2 linked regions of the Diceros bicornis minor genome follow. The protein of the gene in region 2 binds, or shares a complex with, the protein of the main gene of each other region. Links are inferred from orthologs where the notes say so. Each region holds a gene or a part of one and is shown on either strand. Other genes may lie near its edges.

Region 1 (7,278 bases), on a different chromosome or scaffold from region 2:
CTGAGGCCGCGTCCCACATACAGCAGCAGGAGGGATGTGCATCTATGACATGCAACTATCTACGGGGGCTTTGGGGGAAAAAAATAAATAAATAAAATTAAAAAAAAAAAAAAATCTAACCGGTGAAATCTCTCCCTCTCCAGACCCCATTCTCGGTACTGCCAAAAGAACACAAAACTGATCATATCAGCTCCTCCTTTCAAATTTCCAAAGGCTCCCCATCTTCTGCCTACATGACAAACACTAAACACCTTACACAACTTAAAGGGCCCTTTTCAATATCACTCCAATCTACCTTTATAGTCACACAGTTCACCGACTTTCCTTTCCATCTTCAACCAGTAACATATACGCGTTACGCTTCAATATTACAAATGTCTCATTGTTCTAAACACTCTGACACTAGTTCTGACACTTTGACCTTGTCGTTCTCTCCTTGCAGTAGTCCTTTTCTTCTTCTTTTTTTTTTTTGGTGAGGGAGATTGGCCCTGAGCTAACATCCATTGCCAATCTTCCTCTTTCTGCTTGAGGAAGATTGTCCCTGAGCTAACATCTGTGCCAATCCTCCTCTATTTTGTACATGGGAGGCTGCCACAGCATGGCTTGATGAGTGGTGTTGTGCAGGTCCGTGCCCAGGCCGCCAAAGCAGGTGATCTTAACCACTACACCATGGGGCCAGCCCCTGCAGTAGCCCCTTTGCTCACCATTGACTGGAGATCTGGTACTATTGCAGTTCAAGGAATTTTCACCCACAATTCAGTCTCTTTCCAACTGTGTTAGAACGACTGCATTTCTACAGAATCATCAGAAATTTGCAGTTGACGTGAACTTACATATCAATTCAGATAGAAAATATTTTTCCTTCCTACTTCAAAGCTTGTTCCTTTCCTCTGAGAACCCTACTAAAGCCCCAAATTCTCCTAGTAAAAATGGAAAGACTTTTTAAAAAAGAGATAAAACCCTAAGTCAACCCAAAAGTCAGGATCACTCCATCAAGATCAACAGTGGAACCAAACATTAACTGTCCTGGAAGTTAGAATGAAAGGCATGGGTTCTTAACCGGAGGTCCATGGACTCCTCAGGGCTATAAGGTAGTTTTATGAAGCCCCTCAAATCGCATGCAAAGTATGTGTACATGCTTTTTTCTGGGCAGAGGGTCCATACCTTTCATCAGAGTTTCAAAGATATCTGTGACCTCCAAAAGGTTAAGAAGTGTTCTAGAGAAAAAGCAAAGACAAGCAAATGTGATTAAAAGAGTGAATCCTTTTCAGGCTGTCAGGAGTGCCTCATGCTCTTTCAGTCTATAATACCTGAAATCAGGTCAAAGGACATTATCCAACCAAAATCAAATTTAATATAGACCTGACAAACACAGGTTTCATGGAAGAAGGAACTCCATAAACCAATACAAAAATCCACAAACGCAAGTCACAAGGCTGATGACTTAACTTCAGGAGCTTCAAAAATGGGACTAATCGGAAGAAAACATTAGATCTTCTATTCATATTTCCTTTTTATCTCATTCATTCAAAAATTCCTTTTCTGTACATCTTTCATAACATACATAACAGTATGGCAGTACATAATTTATATAAGTAAGTACTATACATATAATGGAGGTGACTGCTCAATTTTTTTTACTTATCGTGATATTACGACACTACCGATATAATCTACACATTTCAGTACCGCTAAATTGACAGTAACTCCAGGATAACACAAAAACCCACTAGTATACTTTAGAATCCAAGCATAAGAAATCCATTAGCTTTCACAGAAAGGCTAATTGGTGTCAACCAATAAGTGACTAAAAGAAGCTCTCCCTATCCTTACTCTCACACTTTTTTTTTTTTTAAAGGATCAGTTTTCGGATTCCGCTAAATCAGCCTGGTTTATCCAAGGTTCCCAGAACGATGTGACCAAAACACCTGATGGGAAAACTACTTGTGAAACCACAAATGGACAACTAATCAAGATATTCTCAATTCACCCTAAAAGAAACTACTCTTTTCTTCCAGGAAAATAATCAACTAAATGTGAGAAAACTACCAAGATTCCCAAAAGACACAACTTAAAACAGCTTCTGTGGTGGAGAGTGGCACCCAGCGGAGACACGAACAGAGGCAAGGTCCATCCCCGATATGAAACGGGACAGAGATAACCCTAACCTCGGAAGTGCTTTTCCAAAACATCCCAGCTCTGAGCGAGTTGTCCCTCGGGTAGGGGATGCGGGGGCGGGGGCGGGGGGAGGCTGGCGGGAAGAGAACCGCGTGAGAGAACGCGAAAACTTTTCGGTCTGCGGGATCCGTGCCTTCACTAACTCTAAGGTCTCCGAAACCCAGGCTTCCACGCGGAGGCCTATCTTCGGAGGCTTCTCCTCAGGTTTCAAAGTTCGCCCCGGGGGCGTAACCCCACCTAAAAAAAGGAGTGGAAGCATTTTCTGGATCACGTTTGAGACCTAGACAGACGGAAAACACAAAGGTGCCACCACCTGCTAACGGGAATCTCAGCTTCGGACGACAGACAGGGGAGCATCAAGCCAGGGAAGAAAAAGGGGTGCTAGGTCCGGCGTGGGGCGAAGAGGAGCGGACCACTGACGTAATGCAGCTTCGAGGAGAAACGAGGAGGAAGGATAACAGGTTGAAGGCGCTTACACCAGCCGGTGGGGAAAGGAAACGGACGACACAACGATGAGGAAGGGAGCCGGAATAACGCCAGACAGCCGTGAGAAGAAATGGGAAATTAGGCAAGGCGTATGGGAAAGATAGGAGGCACAAAAGAAAAGAACTACGAGGGGAGCCGGCAAACGAAGTGGAAAAGCCGGTAAAGAGAACATGTAGGAAAAGGCGCAAGCCACCAGCAGAATTCAGTCCCCAGAGAGCCCAGCTCAGCCCTTCCCCGTTCCCGCTACCTTTAGCTTGTGCAGCTCCACCGTCTCCGTCGCCATCTTGTTACCCCTCCACTCCGCCAGGCCCCCACCCGCTGCCTCCGCCTCCCGGAGCTCCCGCCTGGGCGCAGCCAGCCACGGCCGACCAATCGCTGCCACTCTTACTCCCACCTCGGACCATCAACTCTCCCCGTTAGTCAACAGCTGGCGTCGCTCTCACTCCTCTAAGCAGCTCTCCCCTCCTGTCTCTGAAGGTGGGACAGGGTGGAGGGCGGCTTCTGCACTTTCTGAACGACTTAAGTGGCGACCAATTGTGCGTCTCCAATGCAGACCGCCAGCCAATGGGTGGCAGCAGCGCTGATTCTGCTCCACCAATCGGGAGAGTGCAGATGGGCGAGGGCGGCTGCTTCCTGGAGATCGCAGGTGTGGAAGCGAGCCCTGCGCCCCAGGCTGGACGGGCTTCTGAAGCAGGCAGGTAGGGGCTGCCGGGAGACTGGAACGGGGTGCCGAGAAAAACGGTGGGAGGCAAAAGGGGAGGGGGCGGTGAGTGGAGCGGCGGCGAGTTAAATACCGAGAGAAGAGCGCTGAAGAGAGCCCGGAGGGGAGCCAACGAACGAGAGAGGGAAGCTGGGAGGAGCACAGGGCGGGTTCAATACTAGGATTCAGGGAATTTCAGGTAGAGAGGGGCGGATAAGAGCTGCTTCTTACTAGGCATCATCAACGGGCCAAGTTCAGACGACCAGAGCCGCCCCTGAAGTCGGGGCTAGGGCTCCATCTCTCGAGACGCTGAGCTTAGGTCTCATCCTATCCAAAAGCCTTGGTCAAAGTCTGGCAGCGCCCCAGGCTTGAGAGAAGGAATTGGGGTGCTGGCTGCTTACGTGCCAAGAGGTTGACAGAACCGGCAAGCCCCTGAGGAAAAGGTGGGGATTAGAAGTAGCTTTACCCTTCTTTCTCCTCCGTAATGATTCATTGTTTCCCATGACCCTCTTCTGGAATTCTGGGTGTATGTAACCTCTCATGATTTCTTATTAACGTCTTCAGGAAAGTAAAGTGAGATACTAATGTTTCCCTTGCTCCTTGAAGCAGGTGCCCCAAGCTTAGGCTTACTCCTTCAAGTTACAGTTGAAGTGTAAGGATCAGAGTAAAAATTACCATTATATGTCTCTAAAATGCAGAGAGGACTCTTCGTGCCTTTTAAGTTTTTTCCCCCAAGTCTTCAGTTTTTCCTTTGTGCATGATGGGGAAGTTCTTTCATTCTAATAGAGTTCAAGGGATTTTGGCTATTCAGAAGACAACTTCGGGAACAAACTCAAAGAGGGGTTGAGAGGAAATTGAGTTGGACTCCTGTCTGATCCCCTACTGTGGTAGGATGAATGTGGGGGTGGCACACAGCGAAGTAAACCCCAACACTCGAGTGATGAATAGCCGGGGCATCTGGCTGGCCTACATCATCTTGGTAGGACTGCTGCATGTGGTTCTACTCAGCATCCCTTTCTTCAGCATTCCTGTTGTCTGGACCCTGACCAACGTCATCCATAACTTGGTGAGCACTAAACCATGCCCTTTTACCCACCCCAGGCCTTTCCAAACCAAAAACAATAAAATCATCAATTATTTGGGGATTTATGTCTTCCTTTTGGGATCTTAGCATAATTCTTTGGCTGAAGGACTACTTTCTGCCCCCTCACACTGCCCCCTTCCCTCCTCCCAGGCTATGTATATCTTCCTACATACTGTGAAAGGGACACCCTTTGAAACTCCTGACCAAGGAAAGGCTCGGCTACTGACATACTGGGAACAGATGGACTACGGGCTCCAATTTACCTCTTCCCGCAAATTCCTCAGCATCTCTCCTATTGTACTGTGAGTCCAGGGGGAGATATGGGAGATGCTCCAAGAGCCAGGTACAAAGGCCCACAGGGAAGCTTTAGAAAAGCAGACTACTCATTCAGACCCTTTGAAGATATTATGGTATACTAGGTCTAAATCTAGAGAGAGTAGTAAAAAGTAGAATACAGTACTCAAGCATCCCTTGCTGCCTCCTTAGTGGTAGGGGACTGAGAAAAGATAAAATACCAAGTAAAACCAAATAATTTTACACTTCCAAAAGAAGTGAATAAATAAAGGTAGAACTGATGTAAATCTGTAAAAACTAACAGTGGGGAGTGGAAGCAAAGAGGACTCTAACAGTCATATAGGCTAAAACTGCTTCAGCTGTCATTTGCCACATGTCATTAACAATTAAAACACACACAAACTAACTTATAAATCTCCAGTTAAAGGTGCTATTTGATTATCTCCCCAACCCCAAAGTAAATACTGTTACTAGAGCTGGACTATTTCAGACATCCTAGGACTATTTCATTTAAAATAGAAGAGAAAGTCACTGGAAAGGCATGAATATGGATAGGGGAGGCCAACTTCACTCAACCTATTTCTTCTCTCCCCAGCTACCTCCTGGCCAGCTTCTACACCACGCATGATGCTGTTCACTTCCTCATCAACACAGCCTCATTGCTCAGCGTACTGCTGCCTAAGTTGCCCCAGTTCCATGGGGTTCGTCTCTTTGGCATCAACAAATACTGAGGGATGGGGCTGGGGACGACGTTGGAACAAAGGACTGCGACATCCTTCCCTTCTCCATACTGTCTTCTATGTCTTGAAAGCCTCAGAACTATACAACCTTTCCCAAACTCCCAAGAAGAGAATAGATTGGAAAATGCAGCTCCCTGGGCCAAGCCCTGGTAGGAACAGGTTTCTTTGAATCAGGAAAGGCAGGTGAGGTAAGGACCAAATCATTCTCATCCACAGCAGGAAGCCATGTTTGGGCAGCTTTGTTTGGTAATTAAGTTTTTCCATAGCTTCCACCCCCACTACCTTCTAGCTCTGTTCTGCTATGTATGTTCCTTATAATAAAGATCATTTTTTTTCAGATATGGCTACAGTTTGGTCAGCAGGAAGGGTAGGAAGATGTCCTCATGAGGCTGGGGAAGAAAGATGGAACAGTGATTTACTGTACAAAACTTCTTTAAGGTATTTTTTTATCCCCTCTCCCTTGGTCCAGTAGGAGGTGCCCTTCACGCGCAGCTAACACTTAGTAGAGAAAGGATTCTCAAATGAGAAAAAGGGCTCCAGCTATATGGGCAAAGAAGAGAGGGAAGATACAGGTTGCCAGTTATATATTTATAGAAAGATAATCCCCTGGCTTTAAATAGATATGTACATACAAATATGAACAAACTTAAAAAAATACAAACCCTTGGATCATAAGGGTGCCGCTGGGAGCCCCTTTATCCTTCCCCCTCACCCAAGGGCAAAGGGCATGAGTCGCTTTTTAAAAATTACTAGTTTTGGCCATCCCTGCAGCAACAAGCATGAAGTTGGGTGATGACCCACAATGGTGAAAGTCAGAGGAAAAATTCAGAGTTCCCACTCTCTGAACTCTAAATATCTCCTATAATTAGGGCTACATGCTTTCTTGTTCTGTCTTTTATCTAGTATACTGGAGTAAAGGAGGGGGCTCCCTTCTGAAATGGGTCAAGAACTAAGATAGTTTAAAAAGAGGAGAAAAAGTCATCTGCTCTGGAAGCAAAAGACAAGACAAAGGCATACAGACCCTAGGGAAATACCCGGTTCCCACACCACTATGGGGAATACTGTCCAGCCCAGGCCCAGGCCCTCGATTCTTTGCTCTAGACACCCCCTATTTCTTTGGTATTGTCAGAAGACAAGATTCAGTTCCTGGGTGCTGGTGGAGGAGGGAGAGTGGTTCCAGGGCTTCCTACAAGTACTGAGTGAACAATTTGAGCTTAAAATTTTCCCTTTTTTAAATATTTAAAAATAAACAAATCAAACTCCATCCTGTGCTGTACACAGCCCTTTTGACTCCCTGACATTGATCTGAGGAAAGAAGAGACGGGGTGTCAACGTTGGAAGGGCCTCCTCACTTTCTTCCGCCGCTTCGGTTTGGCTTCTCCCTTGGGTACTGTGCTGTTGGGCTTGGAGGCTGCAGTGGCCCCAGGGCCAGGCTGAGGAGCTGCAAAGAAGTTTCCGTTAGACATCTGGCCTGGGGGTACTTGAAAGATCCGGCTCAAGAAATCCTGAAGGTCAGCAGGAGGGGCATCTGGGGTGGCTCTGAGAGGAAAACAGAAAGAATAATGAGACGAGATATTAAGAGTCATATGGTTTCCTATGTTATCTATTTATACCTAAGTTAAAGATCTACTGGGTTAGTTGCCAAACTTCTTAAAGGGTGAGACATCTAGGTGTCCTAAACAGCATGTTATCTGAAACCATATTCAGAACTAGAATAGTAGATAGATTATTGAAAGAAATACCACCTACCTCTGCCGCCCACTGGTGCCTGGAATCCGAGAACCAAATGAGATGTG
Region 2 (7,365 bases):
CCCATGCCCTCTCAGGCTCACTTTCCTCTTCCAGCCAGTGGAGCGACAGGGCCCCGACTGTCTTCCAAAGGGGGCTGGTGCCCTCCCCGCCCCAGGAGGCTGGGCAGGGGCTCACTGGGAGCAGGGGCCAGCTTTGGGGACCAGGCGCCCCAGGTGGTGGCGGGAGCAGGTGGGGCAGAGCTGTCTATTTTTCTAATCTACATAGGTCTATCTTTTCTAAGCACTAGGCCCCCTGGCATGCTCTACGACAGGGATGGGGGTGGGTATTTATGTATCAAGATCAGACAGAGTAATATATAAATCATTACACCGACCTGGCCTCCATTCTTGGGAAGAAAGCACATGGAACAAAAGCCTGAAATTTTATTTGTAAAAAAAGAAATAAAAACACTGCAAATCCCTGGAATGGGAGACTGCCGAGGGAGATCAGAAGGACAGGGAGAAGGCGCGGTAGCCCAGATTGGTGAAGACATCCACCCGGCAGCTGTTGCCCGCAGCTGTCAGGACCTGGAGGCAAGGTGGGGCTGACTGACCTGCCCACACTGCCCTGGCCTCCCAGGCTCCCCATAGCCCCTTGCCGGACCCACCTTGCACTCAGGGGCTGCTGGCTGCTGGTTGAGGCTGAGGCTGAGTAGCCCTGGGGAGGAGCCAGGCACCTGGGCCTTGAGCTCCCCGCTCAGTTGCCACTGGTTGACGCAGCGGCCCTGGCCAGCTGACAGAATCTGTGGGGGGCAGGGAGGGGGATCAGCGTTCAGGGCTGGAGAGGAGAGCCAGACAGGGGTGGCATAAGCAAGACAGAGGGCCTCACCAGGTCCTGGTAGAAGGTGACGTGCTTCTGTGGAGCCCGCATAGGGAAGATGGTGGTGGGTGTGGAGGATCGGAGGTGCCACAGAGTAAGTGCTGGGCCCCCTCCACAGACCTGGACAGAAAGGTGGGGGTCCCCAGCCACTGTGAGCCACAGGCCCTCAGCTGGCAGGGCCCAGAGCTGCCTCCCCATCCTGCCCTCTGCCCGGCTCACCATCCAGTCTGAGTCAGTTGCCAAACATCCGATCCAGCGCCCATTGTGGGGCCTCGAGCACTCCTGGGAGGGAGCAGGGGAAGAAAGGAGGAGGTGAAGACGCAGGGGATGCCCAGGGAGAAGGAAGGGAGGACGCGTGCAGTGTGCCCTCACCTCGTGCTTATAGACCTCGATCGTCTGGACCTCCTTGGCCGTGCGAAGGTCTGTGAGGGAAGAACCATGAGAGGCATCCTACTTGCCCCAGTCTCCCTCACCACCGTCTTTCCCTCCAACCAGACGTTCCCTTACCCCAAAGTCGCACAGCTCCATCCTCGCCCCCTGACAGCACCTCGGGGCTCCGCTCCCGCAGTGCCAGGCAGTGGATGTAGTCCGTGTGGCCCCGGAGGGCCCGCTACAGGGAGAGGGCCAGTGTCGGGACAAGATCTGGGAAGAAGGCCCGGTGCTGCCCTGACCACCCCAGCTCCGTGGCCATCTCACCGTGAAGGCCCCCGTCTCAAGGTCCATCGTATGCAATTGACAGTCTCCCCCCGCCAGGATGAGGGAATTCTCCTGCAGAGGAAGGCGAGGTGGGGTCGGAAGTCAATGTCAAATCAGGACAGGGAGAGGGGAAGGATCAAAGATTGGGCCAAGAAGAGGGCAGGGCAGAGCCCCAGTCACAAAGGGCTCAAACCTTGGGGACAAGAAGCAAAGCATTGATCTCAGGCACTTCCAGGCTGGTCCTGGGGGAGGGAAAGTGGCGTCAGCTCTGCTGAAGGGTACCTTCACCCCCACATGCCCCTGCCCACATGGCCCTGGCTCACCTGTATGGGGGCTGACGACGCCACAGCTCCTTACAGCCCTTGGTGGAGGAAACACTGGGTGACTTCAAAGGTTCTCTCTCTCTGGGGCTGGGCGCCCCAGCACTTCCCCCAGCCCCACGCTCCTTACCTTCTTGAGGATCTCCACCCAAAGCCAGGACTTCACCTCCCCATCCCCAGCGCTGAGCAGCTGCCGATCAGTGGAGACCATGCTGTAGACGGGCCCATCATGGGCTAAATGGAAACGCAGACCCTGAGTGACCCTGTCCTGCTCCCCTCCTCCACGCTGGGGTCCCCGAAGCCAGACTCAATGGCTGCACCCACCTTGGAAGGTCACCACGGGCTTCTTACTTTCCTCTTTGGCCTCGGAGCTCAAAGCAGCAGACAAGCTGAAGGGAGAGCGGAGAGGGTCAGAAGCAGGGGGCATCAGTACAGGAGGGCCAGGTGCCAGAGCTAATGGGTGGTGGGGAGCAGGGCCAAGGGTACCTGAAGATGGCTATCTGCCCGTAATTATTGCCGGCGGCAAGGAACTTCCCGCAGGGTGACACACTCTGGGAGAAAATGGTCATGTGCAGCCGCTGCAGGGCCTGAAACACTTCCACCTGTAGGGAGAGGCTGGATGAAGACCATCTGGGACCTCCAATCCACAGACTCCTTCCTGCTTCCCCTGCCGCCAGTCCAGCTTCCCACTGCACAGACTTCTCAGCCCTCCGTTGAGGCGGCCCACCAAGTGGGCACCTGCCCTCACAGTCCCAGGGGTGGCTCCAAGAAGAGGGCGAGGCGAGTAGAGTTGAGGCGTGATGCCTATAGGACCTTGAGCAAGCACCCAGCCTCTCGTCCAAATTTCCTCAACTGTCAAATGGACCTCACAGGACATTCTGTCAGATTGGATGAGGTACTGTACACAGAGTTTCACACAGGGGTGGCTCGTAGAAAGCGCTTAAAAAGTGGCTCTATTACCCCAATACAGAAAAACATGCTTACAATCCCTATCCTCCGACTTTCATGTTAGTCCTTTTAAGGATGTCTGGGTGATTCTCCCACCCCCGCGTCAGAGTCCGAGTCCCAGCCCAGAGCCCACCCAAAACAGGACTCAGGGCACGACTCCTCGCCCCCCCCTTCCGAGCCGGGCATGGACTACAAAGCCCAGAAGACACTGCGCAACCACGCCCGCCTCACCTGACCGAGAGGCACCGCCTGCGGCACAGCTCGCTCCATCACGAGAACTACAAGTCCCAGAGTGCTCCGCGCGCGACGCAACCTCACGAGTCCGGACGTGCCCGCGATCCGCTCCGCTTCGCGGCACCCCACCTCTCCAAGACCGCTGGCAGGCCCGGCGCGAAGGCGGCCGCCGCGTACTAACCCGAGCCCCAGGAACTGAGGTGACCGCCGCGAAGATCCTCGACACTAAGTAGCGCCCACCGCAGCCCCCCCTGAGCCGGATCCCCTCCCCCACCCTGCCGAGCAGATCCGCCTTCCAGCCACGCGCCGCCCGTCTTTCGCGCCTGCGCGGAACCTCCCCGCTGCGCGCGCCTACGGCCGCGCCCCTCGCGTTGGGCCACGCCCTTAGAGGCTCCGCCCCTGTCGCCTGGATCCCACCCCTGCCCTCGGGACCCCGAACCCCAATGATCCTGCAGCAGCCCCTGGAGCGAGGCCCCCTGGGTCGGGCCCAGCGCGATCCGCGGGCTGCCTCGGGGTCGCCCCGAGGCGTGGACACGAGGTGTGTGTGGAGGGGCCCTGGCTGGGCCTGGCCCAGGAGTGCAAGAGCTTTGGCTGGGGGCTCAGGGGAGGTCTGCAGGGTGACACGCGATGGGGCGAGTCGGCAGGGCTTGTACATGAGCTAAGACAGGGTTGGAGGCTCGAGACTGAGACTTCCGCGGCAGGCTGCTGGATGGCCAGGGAGAGAGGGGTGACTTAGGTGTCAGCTAAGACAGGGATGTGCTGGAGGCTCCTGGCTGACCCTGCAGGCTCAGGCAGGCAGATCCTCGGGATGGGGCCAAGAGGGTGGGGTGCACCTGGTTCTCTTTTCTTCCCAGCTCCCCTCTCCGAGGAGCCGTGCCCATGAGCACCAAGCGGCGCCTGGAGGAGGAGCAGTGAGTTTGGGGGCAGGGAGGGACTCCCAACAAGACCTCAGGTCCCCATCAGACTGCCTCCCCTCTGAATATCCCACCCTGCTTGCCTCCCTGTCTCTCTCTAGGGAACCCCTGCGCAAGCAGTTCCTGTCCGAGGAGAACATGGCCACCCACTTCTCTCGACTCAGCCTGCACAATGACCACCCTTATTGCAGCCCCCCCATGGCTTTCCTCCCAGCTCTGCCCCCACTCAGGTAGGCACTATCCACCATCCAGGGGCTGGGTCTTCTGGAGGATCATACCCGCTCCTGGGAGCTAACCTCCAGGCCCTGCCTCATCCTGCTATTTTTAGCTTCTAGCCAACTTCTGTTTCCCATCTTGGCTTCTTGGAAGGTGCCTACAGCAGGAGCCCCTGGTGGGGGATGGCTCTGCCAGGCCAGCCTCAGCCCTGTGCCCTGACTGTCCATTCCTCTTCCAGGAGCCCTTGCTCTGAGCTGCTTCTCTGGCGCTACCCTGGGAACCTGATCCCTGAGGCCCTCCGGCTGCTGAGGCTGGGGGACACCCCCACCTCCCACTACCCTGCAACCCCAGCTGGGGACATAATGGAGCTCTGAGTGCTGGTGGGCACTGCCCCTGCCCACCTTCCTTCTTCCCCACGACAGGGAGACCAGCACCCCCACGAAGGGACCAGCTGCCCTGCTTTTCCTCCATGACCTTCCCCTAACAGAGGAGGACACTGTGCCCACAGAGCCTGGGGTGGGAGGGGCAGGAACCTGGGAAGGGAGGCATTCCCCCCCCCCCACCCCACCCACAGGAGAACTGAATAAAGATTGCTGAGCAAATAAAGGTTTCAGTCTGGAACCTGGGGCCTTTGGGAAGAGGGGGAGGGCTGGGGCGCTGGATGCTGGGATTTCTCCTCAAGATCTTCCCTGGAAAACGGTCAGGGCCCGGGCCAGGTCCTGGCAGGCTGGGCTCAGGCATTGAGAATGTGTGAGTCAGAGCCTCACCCCCGCCCCCGCGGCTGACTCACTGCTCCCGCCAGCTCTGGGAAGTCGGGCTGGGGATCAGGACACTCTCCGAACCATTTAAAGTTAAAGATTCTTTTATTAATAAATTCTCCCTCCCCTCCAAACTTTCTCCCCAAAATAAATATCCCCCCCCCTTTGGGGATTTGGGGGCAGTGTCTTAGGGCCAGCCCCCCCTAGAGGGCCAGCCCCCTAGTGTTAGGAACAGGTCCCTAACCCCCCAGGGTGAGACCCCGTGGTGGAATTTCAGTACATCTGAGTGGGTGGGGCCTGGTGTTGTGTCTGTCCCTCAGGTCAGCCTGGCCCCCAGGCCATGGCGGGGAGAGGGACCCCCTTGTGCAAATGCTGCAGTTCCTTAGTGTCAGCTGTCTGGTGTGAGCCAGCGTGGGTCTCCTTTTCTGTTCTGGAGCCAGAGACAGGGCAGTCAGACACCTTGGAAGTCTCCTCGGAAGCCTGGGCCCAGACCTCAGAGCAGTGATTCACCCGAACCCCATCCTTCCACACCCCTGTGGTTGGAACAGCCTGGCTGGCTCTGGCTGTGTGTCTGGGAGGTAGGGGCTGGCTCCAGAATGAATGAATGAATGAATGAATGATGAGTAGGTGGGGCCTCCTGCTGGCAAGGGGCGCTCACTGTCACTGGATCAGCGCCACGCCAGGACAGCCCTCCCCGCCGGTCTCCTCGATGGGGGCTGCAAGACAAGCAGAAGGGTGGTCAAGAGCAGAGGAGAGGTTGGGGAGTTATGGAGGCGGCGGGCGGGCTGGGCACACTCACTGGTAAACTTCTCTCTCCTGCGGCACCGTCTCCAGACCAAGAAGCCGGAAAGCAGGCCCAGCACGAGGGCCAGGCTCAGAGCGCCCCCCAAGATGGGCCACAGCAGCCGGAAGGAGGCCGGAGGGGCCGCAGCGCCTGGGGGCGGGACTCGAAGTCAGACCTTACCCCTCTCCGGCCCAGCCCCGCCCCCTAGACCTGAGCCTGAAGCCTTTCCCCCACCGTGGCCCCCACCCTGATCCGAATCCCTTCCCTACTCCCGCCTCCCGCGTCCTCGCCCCCGCCATTAATTTCCCAGATCTGAAGCTCACTGCTTCCCTCTCCACCCCAGCACCCCCACCCCCAGTCAGGGGTCCGCTCGCCTCTGGCCCCGCCCCCCACTCACAGCCCAGGCAGAAGTCGCTGTGCGGTCGCGCCGGGCAAGACGCGCAGTCCATGCACTTGTCGAGGTCCGCGCTCCAGGAGCTGCCGCGAGAGCAGGGGGTGGTGCCTGGGGAGGGGGCCGCGGGTCAGAGGCTGGGGGCGGGGCGCGGCTATTCTGGGGGCTGAGGTCAGGGTCGGCCGGCTCGAATAACGTGAGTCACCGGCGCCCTCCCCCCGCATTCCTCACAGGTGACCGCACGCCTCGACCGGGACACGGCGGCGCGGAGGGAGGGGGCGTAGCGCGGGACGCGGGGGGGTGGAGGGGGATCAGGTCCCCACAACCCCCCCTGCCGCCGGCGGGTGACTCACTCCCGGGCACCGGGCCCGACCCCGGTCCCCTCCCCCCGCATAGCTGGGCACTGAAGTCACCGGATGGAAGGGGGCACCCCACATGGTATAGGGGGCACAGACCCCCGAGGCTCTCGACACCCCTCCCGACTCTTAGGTCACTGGAGCTGGGTAGACCCGGTGTTGACCTGGCTGGGGGCGTGCCCCCTCACCGGAGGAAACATCCCGCCCTAAACTTTTTCTCCACTTCCGAGTCCGGACTTTCAGGACAGAAGCCCCCCGAGTTAGAGAGGCGGGAAAACAGGCCTGAATCGTGGATGAAGCTCGAAGCGGGATGGGACTTCCCCTGGCGAGGGAGCGCAATGTCTGGAGACCACCTGACCCTCGATCCCCACGTCCGCCCAGTCACCCCAGTGCTGCCCCCTCCTCTAGGCCCCCAATGGCGACCTCCCTATCCCGAGCTGGGGGTTCCGGCCCCCACGCCCTCCCGCCCGGCCCCCGCCCCCGCCAGGCGTACCTGGCACCGGCTCCCCGGCGGCGGCGCGCAGCAGCGCCAGCCCGAGTCCCAGCACGAGGAGCCGCAGCCGCGGGCGCAGCGGGCCAGGAGCCATGGTGCGCGTCCGGCGGCCGCTGCCGACTGTGCCCGCCGCCTGCCGGCCCTCGCAGACAGCGGCGGCCCCGCCCCCGCCCCCGCCTTCCGGGGCGGATCCCTCGCCTCGGCCCGGCCCGCGATCCACTCCGGGACGTCCCGCCCCGCCCGGCCCGCTAAGTTCACCCGTTCGCTCAACAAACACGGTCTTCGCGCGCGAACGGCCGGGACCCTGCAGGGACTCAGACCCGCCTGGCCCTGCCCTCTCGCAGCTCAGGTCCGGGAGGTGTGTGTTAGGGGCAGGGGGAATCCGACACGAAACAACCCATGGCAGAGATAATTGCAGCTTTCTTAAGGACCCCAGGGGCATTAATAATAACAGAA

Evidence for each region. The genes of interacting proteins can lie anywhere in the genome.
Region 1: THOC6 (region 2) and SARNP share a complex: the UniProt entries of both Homo sapiens proteins name them as parts of the transcription/export (TREX) complex. The link is inferred for Diceros bicornis minor from reciprocal best matches to the Homo sapiens genes THOC6 and SARNP.

The regions. Positions count from the first base shown.
Region 1 is NC_080756.1:12,865,102-12,872,379, reverse strand, and holds the start of SARNP (SAP domain-containing ribonucleoprotein), read right to left. Parts: upstream 3,039-7,278; 5' UTR 2,948-3,038; coding exon 2,912-2,947; intron 1-2,911. Other genes in the region: ORMDL2 (ORM1-like protein 2), read left to right, coding at 3,229-3,362, 4,256-4,430, 4,599-4,750, 5,338-5,473; DNAJC14 (dnaJ homolog subfamily C member 14), read right to left, coding at 6,811-7,021, 7,232-7,278. UniProt on the Homo sapiens protein: Binds both single-stranded and double-stranded DNA with higher affinity for the single-stranded form. Specifically binds to scaffold/matrix attachment region DNA. Also binds single-stranded RNA. Enhances RNA unwinding activity of DDX39A.
Region 2 is NC_080765.1:45,503,493-45,510,857, forward strand, and holds THOC6 (THO complex subunit 6 homolog), read right to left. Parts: upstream 3,076-7,365; 5' UTR 3,034-3,075; coding exon 2,995-3,033; intron 2,418-2,994; coding exon 2,302-2,417; intron 2,205-2,301; coding exon 2,140-2,204; intron 2,050-2,139; coding exon 1,946-2,049; intron 1,857-1,945; coding exon 1,819-1,856; intron 1,738-1,818; coding exon 1,689-1,737; intron 1,568-1,688; coding exon 1,496-1,567; intron 1,410-1,495; coding exon 1,307-1,409; intron 1,222-1,306; coding exon 1,172-1,221; intron 1,082-1,171; coding exon 1,019-1,081; intron 920-1,018; coding exon 809-919; intron 723-808; coding exon 588-722; intron 508-587; coding exon 427-507; 3' UTR 351-426; downstream 1-350. Other genes in the region: HCFC1R1 (host cell factor C1 regulator 1), read left to right, coding at 3,441-3,535, 3,852-3,908, 4,013-4,141, 4,366-4,501; TNFRSF12A (tumor necrosis factor receptor superfamily member 12A), read right to left, coding at 5,546-5,601, 5,685-5,819, 6,067-6,171, 6,910-7,003. UniProt on the Homo sapiens protein: Component of the THO subcomplex of the TREX complex which is thought to couple mRNA transcription, processing and nuclear export, and which specifically associates with spliced mRNA and not with unspliced pre-mRNA.